Regions from separate parts of the Mus musculus genome. Here all the other regions are reported to be linked to region 1. Evidence: microRNA targets listed by miRTarBase, many of them from high-throughput screens and not tested one by one. Region 1 holds a microRNA gene; each other region holds the end of a gene's coding sequence.

Region 1 (3,254 bases):
ACTGTACGGTGGGCTCTAGATACACTTCTGTCGCTCACTTTCTGATATTCAAAAGGTGAGTGCTCCTCTATGCCTCTGGTTAATCATAGAGGTAACACCCACATTTTCAGTATCTCAAGTGGTTCTGGGATGTTTCTGAATACAAAGTGCCCCCTAGGACAAAGCAGGTTATTCCAGTCTTCCCCCACCCAGAGAACAAAGGGAGAGATGGGTTCCACAGCCTGTGCTTTCCACAGCCAGGTTGTTCCTGGAATCTGTGTCCTCTGGGGGCTGTGCCGAGGGCGCCTGTCTGCTGCCTTCTTCATTTCTGACGGATTAGGCCTCGGCTCTTTCTCTTCAGGACTAAATCTTTTGGTATTTAAAAGGTGGATATTCCTTCTATGTTTATGCTTTTTGTGATTAAACATAGAGGAAATTTCACGTTTTCAGTGTCAAATGCTGCTGGGTAATGGGCCTGAGCTGAAGCCACCACCAGGGCAGTGACAGGACAGGTGCACCCTCTTGGGTAAGTGGGGGGTCAGTGGTCCACAGAGCATGTCCTCAGGTGCCCAAGGGCCAATGAGCAATCTTGAGAGCTTCCCTCATGGGCTGCCAACTCAGCCAGAGGTCAGGGGTCTCGTTCTGGAATCCCCCACAGCTAACAAGTCTTTCCCATTGTGTCCCTTCTGTCGCAGATAGGACTGTCCTATTGGATGTCCCAAGAGTTTAAGTCTGATATCTAAAAGGTAGATTTCCCTTCTGTGGTTTTATGTTTGCTGGTCAATCTGATGGGTTTGCCTGAGTTTTGAGTCTCATGTGCTTCCTGGGTGACATGATCCACCAGGGAGATGAGGCTGGGCGCAGTGCCCTCCTCGGTAAGTGGGAAGATGGTAAGCTGCAGAACATGTGTGTTTCTCATGTCATATGTCTGCTGACCATCACCTTTGGGTCTCTGCCTGTGGAGCCAGCTTGGCACAGAGGCCGAGGCGCCTTTCAACATTCTGTTTCCTCTGCCTGAGAAGCGGGGATTTTTTTTTTTTTTTTTGTCTTGTAATCTGTTTCAGATGAGCCAAGCAGCAAGCCTGGTCCTTCCCGGAACTCAGTCCTTCTTTGGTATTTAAAAGGTGGATATTCCTTCTATGGTTACGTGCTTCCTGGATAATCATAGAGGAACATCCACTTTTTCAGTATCAAATGTCGCTCTGGAACTATTTCTGGAAGATTCTGTAGGGTCTGGGGCTGGGGGGGAAGATCATGTAATAATGAGTGGGGCGTGGCCAGAAATGGCCTTAAGAAGCCAACTGAGTGTTAGTCTGATCTGGGTCTGATATACCGCCTCTTTGGGCAGCCTGCTCACTCTGCCCAGTGGACTTCCATTTCTGTCGACACAAGCACAAGCTCACAGCATCCTGGATCGAGTTGTTCTTTGATATTTAAAAGGTAGATTCTCCTTCTATGAGTACAATATTAATGACTAATCGTAGAGGAAAATCCACGTTTTCAGTATCAAATGCTGCTTGGGAAACCACCGAGGACATGACATCTTCACCGAAGAAAGCGTGCTATCCGTCGTCTTCCTGGGCTTGGCGGGGATAGATAGATTTGTGACTTGTGTGATGTGTGCCTATATGCCAGCCTCTCCCAGTGATGTGTTCTGAGACCACTGTGTTCTTTATATCCCTTCTCTGACCTCAAATGAAGTTGTTTCTCTGTGTGCTCACCATGTGTATGTTTTCTGGAGTCGGCTTCTTTTTTCTGTAGCGATATGTCTTGGAGAGCTCCTGGGTGGGCCATCATTTTGGGTAAGGGCGCCTTGGGTAACCCTTTGGGGGGTGTGCGGAGAAGGGGGGGCATGTGAATCATCTGGAAGTGTAACCTCCAAATGTGCCCCCTCAGGCTCACATCCGGACCGTCATCGCATCTGTCATCGCACCGGACCAGCTCTCCCCAGCGCTCCTTATCGTTTGCTACTTGAAGAGAGGTTATCCTTTGTGTGTTTGCTTTACGCGAAATGAATATGCAAGGGCAAGCTCTCTTCGAGGAGCAAATGCTGCCTGGAAGCATGGCTGGCGGCGGCCTGGGCCTAGCAGAAGGGTGTGGTCTCTCCAGGGTAAGTAAATGCATGGTGGGCCACCGAGCTTGAGCTCCTTCTTCGTCTGACCCTACAGATCTCACACATGCTTCTGAGAACTTTCTAGAAAAAAATGCTGATCCTAAGGGCTGTTCTTGGTAGAGCCTAGGAAACTGTGCCTCCCCTTCTGACAGCCCTTCGCAGTGTGGTGTGCATGCCAGGTCGTCTTCTAAGGCCAAAAGAGTGTCAGCAGCAAGCCAGTGCCCATTTAGATGTGGGTTTTCTGCCCACCATTGCCAACCTGTCCTTACAATCACCTTTAAGGCTTCCCATCCACTTAAGGGAAAGGGGGTTGGTGGATATCCAAAGTAAAGATGCTCCCAGAGGCTACCAAGACCATTAAGCCTCCTTCTCCAGGTGTCCTCTTCACCTTGTGTGTCACAGCATGAATTTATGTTAAGGTTGTCTAAAGAACCTTGGTTCTGGGGGTCGGGTGGAGGTGGGGCATCTCACCTCCCTCCGGTGAGCCTTGCATGGGTCTGATGTTTATAGTGATAAGTCTCCCATAGTCCTCTGAACTCCCCAAGAAGGGCAGAAGGAAGGTCCAGAGGTCTCCATACTGCTCCAGTTTGGGGAAGAGGGTGGGGGCTTTCAGAGAGCTAGTTTTCCGGTTTTTCTTCTTTCTTGAATGATGCATGTTGCTGTGCGTACTAATCCTGCTCTTTCGATGACCATCTGGAGGACTTCCTGGAGGCTGCAGCTGTGGGCACAGGTGGAGGCTTTCTTGCCAGGGTGGCTTTGCAGGCTCTGGAATGCCAATCATTCTCTGTCACTTTTTTGTTAAGTTACACAGAATCCCCACCCCCACCCCACCCCATGCCCATCCTCCCATGCCCCACCCTAGTCTTTTGGAAGATCACCCTGTTTTGGAGTGATACTGAGAAGTAAACTAACTTTAGGGCTGGGTACCAGTGTGCAGAGTATGCAGCCAATTCCAGAGCCAGCCAGCTGAGGCTTGCTTCACCAGCCCCTGTGCTCAGCCCAGGCTCACAGGTGCTTCACTGTTCCCTGGCCCAACTCTTGGTTCATGTAAAGAGGATAGCCTCCGGTATGTTCTCTTTATTGATGGTAATAGACTGCAAGAGGCACTTGTCCTCACATCTAACTCTATCTGGGAACTACTCCAGCCCTGTTCCATCTTTGG
Region 2 (3,254 bases), not on the chromosome of region 1:
TCAGAGAGGCCTGCAGGAACCGCATCTCCGAGGGTAGGTTCGCTGCGTGCCTTTCACACGTGCCTGCAAACGGATTCTGAAGATGTCTTCAAAATCCAGACGAAAGAACAGGTCCTTGATCCACCCCCTTTCCAGTTTTCCCCTTGAGAGGTAAGGCCGGGCAGCCTTGAATCTGAGAGAAATGCCCATTGTCACTCCCAAATCCATGGTACAAAGCCTGCCTGGGAGCCGAGACAAAAGCCGCACGCCAGCGGCGGCTGAGAGGACATATTCCTCGCTCTACAAGTTGCCCAGAGCACCCTTGGAGGGCTCCCAACCCACCTCTAGCCCCGCCAAGAAAGGGGGTAAATGGCTACTTAGGACCTGATTGATTGCCTTGGCGAATGGCTTTCTGATTTTGTTTCAGGGGGCCTGCCCTTTCCTGTAGCACAGGTTTCCCCCCATCAGCAACTAATGGCGCTCCCCACATCGCTGGGAGAAACGCAGAGGTTAAAATCACTCTACTTCTTTTGCCCATCCAAGGTAAGTCAGGGGCAAATTTATTCCAGTCCTCTCAAGCTAGAATGGAATCAGACACTTCTCTCTCTCTCTCTCTCTCTCTCTCTCTCTCTCTCTCTCTCTCTGCTAGCCTCAGAAAAATACGTCCCTAAAGGGATCTGTCTTGGAATTTGAGAGGATTTGGGGTCTGGGAGAGGAGGTTTAAAAAAATCAGTACCGAGCATCCCAAAGACTGTCTGGATGGGGCGAGGCAGCTCAGAGACGCTGAATGCACCGTTCTTTGGGAGGAAAAGGGCCTGTGTTGGGGGGGGGGGGATCCTGTTTTGTGAAATTCTTTGAAGATGGGTTAAAAACCACAGGCCAGACTTGGGGCAACGAGTTCAGTCACCTCTTCCCTTTTTCCTGGTAGCACAAGATGAATGTGGGCTCAATGACAGGGATTCTACAGACGTTGGTTTGAATTTTCCAACCCATGTATGTAAAAGGCCCATTGGACAGACTTGTTGAGCAGTCATGGTCACTTGCAACTGCTTTCAGTCACCTGACAGCTCAGACACAGTGGCTGCAAATGAACATTTTGTAATTAAATAGTGAGAGATTTGACTGGGGGAATAGTTTCATTTTTTTCCTTTAAATAGTTACTGTGGGCCACTCAAAGGCAATGGCAGAATATTAATCCTTTTCAGAAAGGAACCAAGGTAGAATAAAATGAGAAAACTCACCCAACCTTGGCTTCACTGGGTCTGGTTGTCTTGAGCTTGGGGCGGGTGGGAAAGAGAAAGGGACTTGGGGGGGCACAATTGGATCCAGTGCCCTGCTAAGCTGTTGCTTGTTCCTGCAATGGAGGCCAGCCAGGTTCCAGGTGGGCATTACTAGTTTCAACCTAGCCCCTGAAGATGGCTTCCCCAGCCAGAAGTCACCAAGAGCTCACTGAAAGCATTAAAAATAACATAACCAAAACCAAAGAGAAGAAAACACACAAATGGGGGACTGGAGGCAAAAGCCTGCAGTGGGTTCTTACTTACCAGGCTCAGGGGTAGAGGGAAGCTCATCCCATTGAGAATACAATTATATTAATAAGATTAGGGGGTGGGAGAGGCGAGAACGGTCTTCCCAGTTATGAAGACTGAGCTCTCAGGCTGAATCACGAACCCTTCTCAAACCCATCATTGCCATATTCTAACAGCCTAGGTCTTCTCCAGTTTTTCTCCTCCCATCTCCTTTCTCCTGCCCCTCCCAGTCCCCTAGTCCACTGCCCCCTGAAGAGCAGTTTGGTCAGAAGAAACCCTCCCCAAAGGCTTTCCTCTCCACCAAAACGTATATTTCCATTTCAGAAAGCAGAAGGAACAAACCCATTTCCAGAGTTTATTGCATTACACATGCGACCAGAACATGCACAGAAAAGCACAGGTTGCGCTTGTACTTCTACCAAACCACAGATGCACCACAAGGAAAGGCTACAAGGCATAAGTCATCAATATTCCATTTCACCAAGGACAATTGCTAAGTTCATTTGTGAAAAGATACATTGTAATGTGCTTTTTAAAGTCCCCCTCCCCCCAAAGCTTGTGGGTTTTCTTAATCTTTTGAAATATATATAGATATAGGTTGTTTGTTTTTTTAAATACTGGATGTTTTCAAAATGCCATGAGTTCATGGGCTAACCACACACAGAGAACTTTTATGTTAGGAAAAACATGGAAAAGTCACATTGCTGGCGGGATAGATGGGTGGGATGCGATGGATACGTTTAGATGGATGTTCTACAGTTCCAATAAGTTAAGACCCAAATGAAAATGCGCAGTAATAGTTACCCTGCATTACGATGAAAAAAAATAAATTACACGTGCTAAGTTTTTTTAATATATATATATATGTATACTCATAGGGATTACAGATCACTTGCAGCACGAACAGAATGACCCCAAAGTCACATTCTAGCAGGAAAACAGAACAGAACAGAACAAAACAAAACAAAAAAACCAAAGAGCAATGAAGGGTTTGTTTCCGCCTTGCCAGTCCTCCAGCACTCAGGCCTGGAACTCGGTGCCCCCTCTCGGATCCTGGCCTCACATGGGCCTCAGACCTAAGAAAAGGTGAGGTTGGCGGTCAGTTCTCGGATTCGATTCTCTCGGCTCATCTTCTTGAGTTTCATTCGGCGGTTTTGAAACCAAATCTTGACCTGCCTGTCGGTGAGGTTAACGCTCTTACTGATCTCTAGGCGGCGCTCGCGGGTGAGGTACATATTGAACAAGAACTCTTTTTCCAATTCCAGCGTTTGGTGCTTGGTGTAAGGGCACCTCTTCTTTCTGCCACTCTTTGCAGTGAGCCAATTGCTGGTTGGAGTATCAGACTTGATTTCCTCTAACAAAATTAAAGGGAGAAGAAAAAAAAATCAAGAATTTTTTTTTCTCTCAGTCCATTCAAATATACCCTTGGCCATGACCCTGCTGCCAGATGGGCTGCTTTGGACAATGCTGGTATTAAACATCACTTACGAAGGTGGGCATGAAGGGGATTGTAAATTGGTACCAATTTAGAACTAAATACTTAACACGATGAATGAAAGGATATTCTGTGCCAGAGGCTGCCTCCTCATATTCTCTCTCTCTCTCTCTCTCTCTCTCTCTCTCTCTCTCTCTCTCTCTCTCTCTCTCCTACACAACTTTTCTGGCTTGCACAAAATGTGACTATAATAGCAAACTTTACAGGATTCCTCCGTCCCCCCAAAAACATTCTAAGCCGTCAGGCCACCA
Region 3 (3,254 bases), not on the chromosome of region 1:
TCCTTCTGTATTGTGTGTGCTGTCACAGAGAGGGGCTTCTCTTTTCCTTCCTCGGTAGGCGGTGGCCATTGGACAGGTTTCCTTTCAGAAAGCAGCTCGCAGCAACAGCCACCAAAATCTCTTCCTCTAATTGCTTCTAATCTCTCGTGGGCTGAAAGGCAGATACACAATTTGTCTGATTGGGATACAAAAAGTCAGTGGCTCTAGATGACTGTGGGGGCTTTCCTGAGACCCGGAGAGCTACACACAGTTGCTTGGACATTTGGATATCCTGGCCGCTGCTCTACCACGAGTTTGACTTGGCTGTGCTCCTAAGTTAGGGGTGCACTGTAGAGGGTTAATGAGAGGAGTGAAAATCTGGGAGACATATACCGCTTGGAGCATTGGAAGTAAGTTCCACGATTCCTTTCTCTTCCAGATCCGACGTATCCTGAAGGGGAAGTCCATTCAGCAGCGAGCACCACCATACTAGGTCCACTGGCGTGGAGCCTGGTTCAGCGACACTCACTGTCAGTTAGGCAGTCCTGATGTATCTGTACATAGACCATTTGCCCTGTATTGGCAAATGTAAGTTGTTTCTATGAAACAAACCCATTTAGTTCACTATTATATAGTGGATTATATTAAAAGAAAAGAAGACAGATATCTAATTTTCTTGGCAGATTTGCGTATTTCATACCCAGGTATCTGGGATCTATATATCTGAATTTGATCTTGAATGGTAAAATTACCTTCGATAACCAGTAGCTTTCAGGTAGGGAAAAAAAAAAAGACTCATGGGAAAAGACTTGATCTGTGGCATAAAGCCTTGCTCATGTAGAGATTGCCAGGTCCAGATTAGGTGGGCTTGAAACATGAGGTGAAAAATGAAAGCATTTGAAAGGGGACAGAAATTTGGATGTGAGGTTGATGTGCACTTTGCTGTCATCGATGCTTCTTTGGTCAGATGCAGGACCTGGTGTTTAATAATGCTCTCTCTCTAGGTGAGGGAGGCCTCTTGATAGGATGTGATCTTTGAAGCTGTATATAATTCTCATTTTTACCTTTTAAAATGTTGTACATATTTGATTTGAACCACGGACATTTGAAATGTGTAAGTCAATCAAGTAGAAAAGAGCTAGTGAATTGTTCACCACTTTCAAGGTTGTGCACCCACAAAGCAACTTGTACTGTGTAATCGTCCAGCTAGAGTTTTTACAGATAAAGCAAATGGGGAAGTGGGTCCCAACGTTGCTGTGGTAGCAGGCGGGTTTCTCTTGCATTGGAAACAGACACGTTTGTAGGCATTTGCGTATTCTTGAAGAGACTGTTTTATGAATCACCTCTTAGATTTATGTAATTTACCTAAGTTGTTGAAGTTTCTGTTTCTCCTTAAGAGAAATTACAAAAATTCAACATTGAAGCATAGTTTCTTGTTTTCTGTTGTCAAATAGTAATAATGTGCTGTGATGTTTATGCTTATTCATAAAGATGTTTTACTTTTTAGTGTAATGTTAGTTCTTTTAACATTATTTTGCTTAAATTTGATAATGCCCGACAAGAATATATTTTGCTTTGATTTATACACTGATTCTTTGTGACAAATATGACCCATTAAAAATGCCTTTTAATAGACTAACTTACCTTTTGTAGCTAGGTACTCATGTTCTTTTTTAAAAGATGCCCTTTGGATTGGATTGGATTGATCATGTTTAACTCAGCGTATTTTATGGATGAAAGCTAAATACAGATATTTGGCATCTCTAAGGTGGAATGAGCCCACTCCACACACTGATAAAATTCATGCATAGTTTTAAATGAACATTAATAAACTCATGTTGTCTTATGTGTTTTTCTTTTCTAGTGCCTTATTTGTGTGTAGTTTGAAGAATACTATTTTTTTTTCCATTACTAAAAATGGACTCTAGGGGCCTTGTGTGTGCCAGGCAAACTCTTTAGCTGCTGTGCTCTAGTCCTTTCTAGCCTAGAAAAGGTATTAACAACAAACTCAGAGTCTTAACAAACAAAACCTTTAAGTTACTTACTTTTGGCTTTTGTGTGTGTGTGTGTGTGTGTTTGTTTTTGAGAACATTTCCTGAAATTATATGCCCTTTTTAACATCCAAAAATGGCTTGCTATATTCATGAGAAGTTTACGTTCCGAAAACACAAAGTTTAGTAGTAGATGCTGTTAAACTCAGAAGTTTATATAATAAAAAAGACGGACAGGTCAGTGGACACAGCAAACAGTGTAGACATTATCCGAGTCATCCTGAGAGGGAGGGATGCCAGTCTCTGAACAGTGCCAAGTAGTGTTTTTCCCTTTTCCCATTATTATAATTGCTGCACCCGCATCCTGGTTCTTGAGAGTACCCGACGACAGCCATGAATTCTTGGAAAGTGTGCCTGAGTGTGTGCTGTATGTACAGGAATGACGATCCACATTGCCACCATCTTCTTGAGTTCAGCTATGGACAATTGTGCTAAAAGATTGTCACAGCTGAGCTATTGACTATTAACCTTCCCTCAGAAGGAGGCAGCAGGAATGTCAATGGACTCTCACCTGAATATCCAACCATTCCTCCTAATTAGTTGTATTTCTGCTCTAATTTCAAGGTCTTAGGAAGGGGCTAGTCTATTAGGCTGCGGAAGACTCTGGGGAAGAGGGTTCTACCTGTGAGACATGGACAATCCATACTGGGCATACATTTTTTTTGGTGTAACTAATTTGGGTTCATCAATGCTCCTTTCGGTAACCCCCTACTCGGTCTATATAAACCTGATTGGTATACTTGTTGGCTCTCCAGGGGAACTTATATGGTGGTTGTCCCTTCCCAGAGTGAAAGTTTTTAGTCAGCATATGTGCAATGATGCATACAGTATCAGGCTTAGCAGCCCTAGAAGAACAAGGCTCATAGGCCAAGGCTCTGTTTCACAGTTTTTCTTTTAGATAATGTCTTGCGCATAGATTGTAAATGTACCTGCTTAGATAGCCATCAGAGTAGGAACAGAACACACTACTGAACATGCCTACACACTGGGTTCTCTTTAATGAGCTTATGAGTGTCCCTTAATTAGTGTTCCCAGCAATCGGTTCTTTCACAATCTAGTGTTTAACAAAGTGTGTGTTGCACATGCATAGGGGATAATATAAGGCAAAGATGTAAGAGGTGTGGTATGCAGCTGGGCGTGATAGTGCACATCTTTAATCTCAGCACCCAGGAAGCAAAGGTAGTTGGGTCTCTGTGTTTGAGGCCAGCCTGGTCGACCCTGTCT

What was found. Region 1 holds the annotated microRNA mmu-miR-376b-3p (AUCAUAGAGGAACAUCCACUU, at 1,141-1,161, shown strand). A microRNA usually pairs through its seed, bases 2 to 8, with sites in the 3' UTR of a target mRNA and lowers its output. Matches are read on the target gene's strand: a 7mer-m8 pairs with bases 2 to 8, a 7mer-A1 pairs with bases 2 to 7 and ends in A, and an 8mer does both.
Region 2: miRTarBase lists Hoxd10 as a target of mmu-miR-376b-3p. The part of its 3' UTR that is shown has no 7-base or 8-base seed match.
Region 3: the mRNA of Nfkbiz is a reported target of mmu-miR-376b-3p. Seed matches in the 3' UTR shown: 8mer at 578-585.

The regions. Positions count from the first base shown.
Region 1 is chr12:109,722,368-109,725,621 of GRCm38, forward strand. Mir376b (microRNA 376b) reads left to right here and starts at 1,091; the gene lies at 1,091-1,172. Mir376c (microRNA 376c) reads left to right here and starts at 351; the gene lies at 351-436. Mir654 (microRNA 654) reads left to right here and starts at 851; the gene lies at 851-934. Mir376a (microRNA 376a) reads left to right here and starts at 1,414; the gene lies at 1,414-1,481. It also overlaps Mir300.
Region 2 is chr2:74,693,699-74,696,952 of GRCm38, reverse strand. It overlaps Hoxd10 (homeobox D10), which reads right to left. Exons shown (of 2, transcript NM_013554.5): 2 at 1,847-2,862. The coding sequence ends at 2,585. Among named protein-coding and RNA genes, the nearest start is that of Hoxd9, 2.4 kb to the left of the region's middle.
Region 3 is chr16:55,809,948-55,813,201 of GRCm38, reverse strand. It overlaps Nfkbiz (nuclear factor of kappa light polypeptide gene enhancer in B cells inhibitor, zeta), which reads left to right. Exons shown (of 12, transcript NM_001159394.1): 12 at 419-1,825. The coding sequence ends at 472. Among named protein-coding and RNA genes, the nearest start is that of Nfkbiz, 11 kb to the left of the region's middle.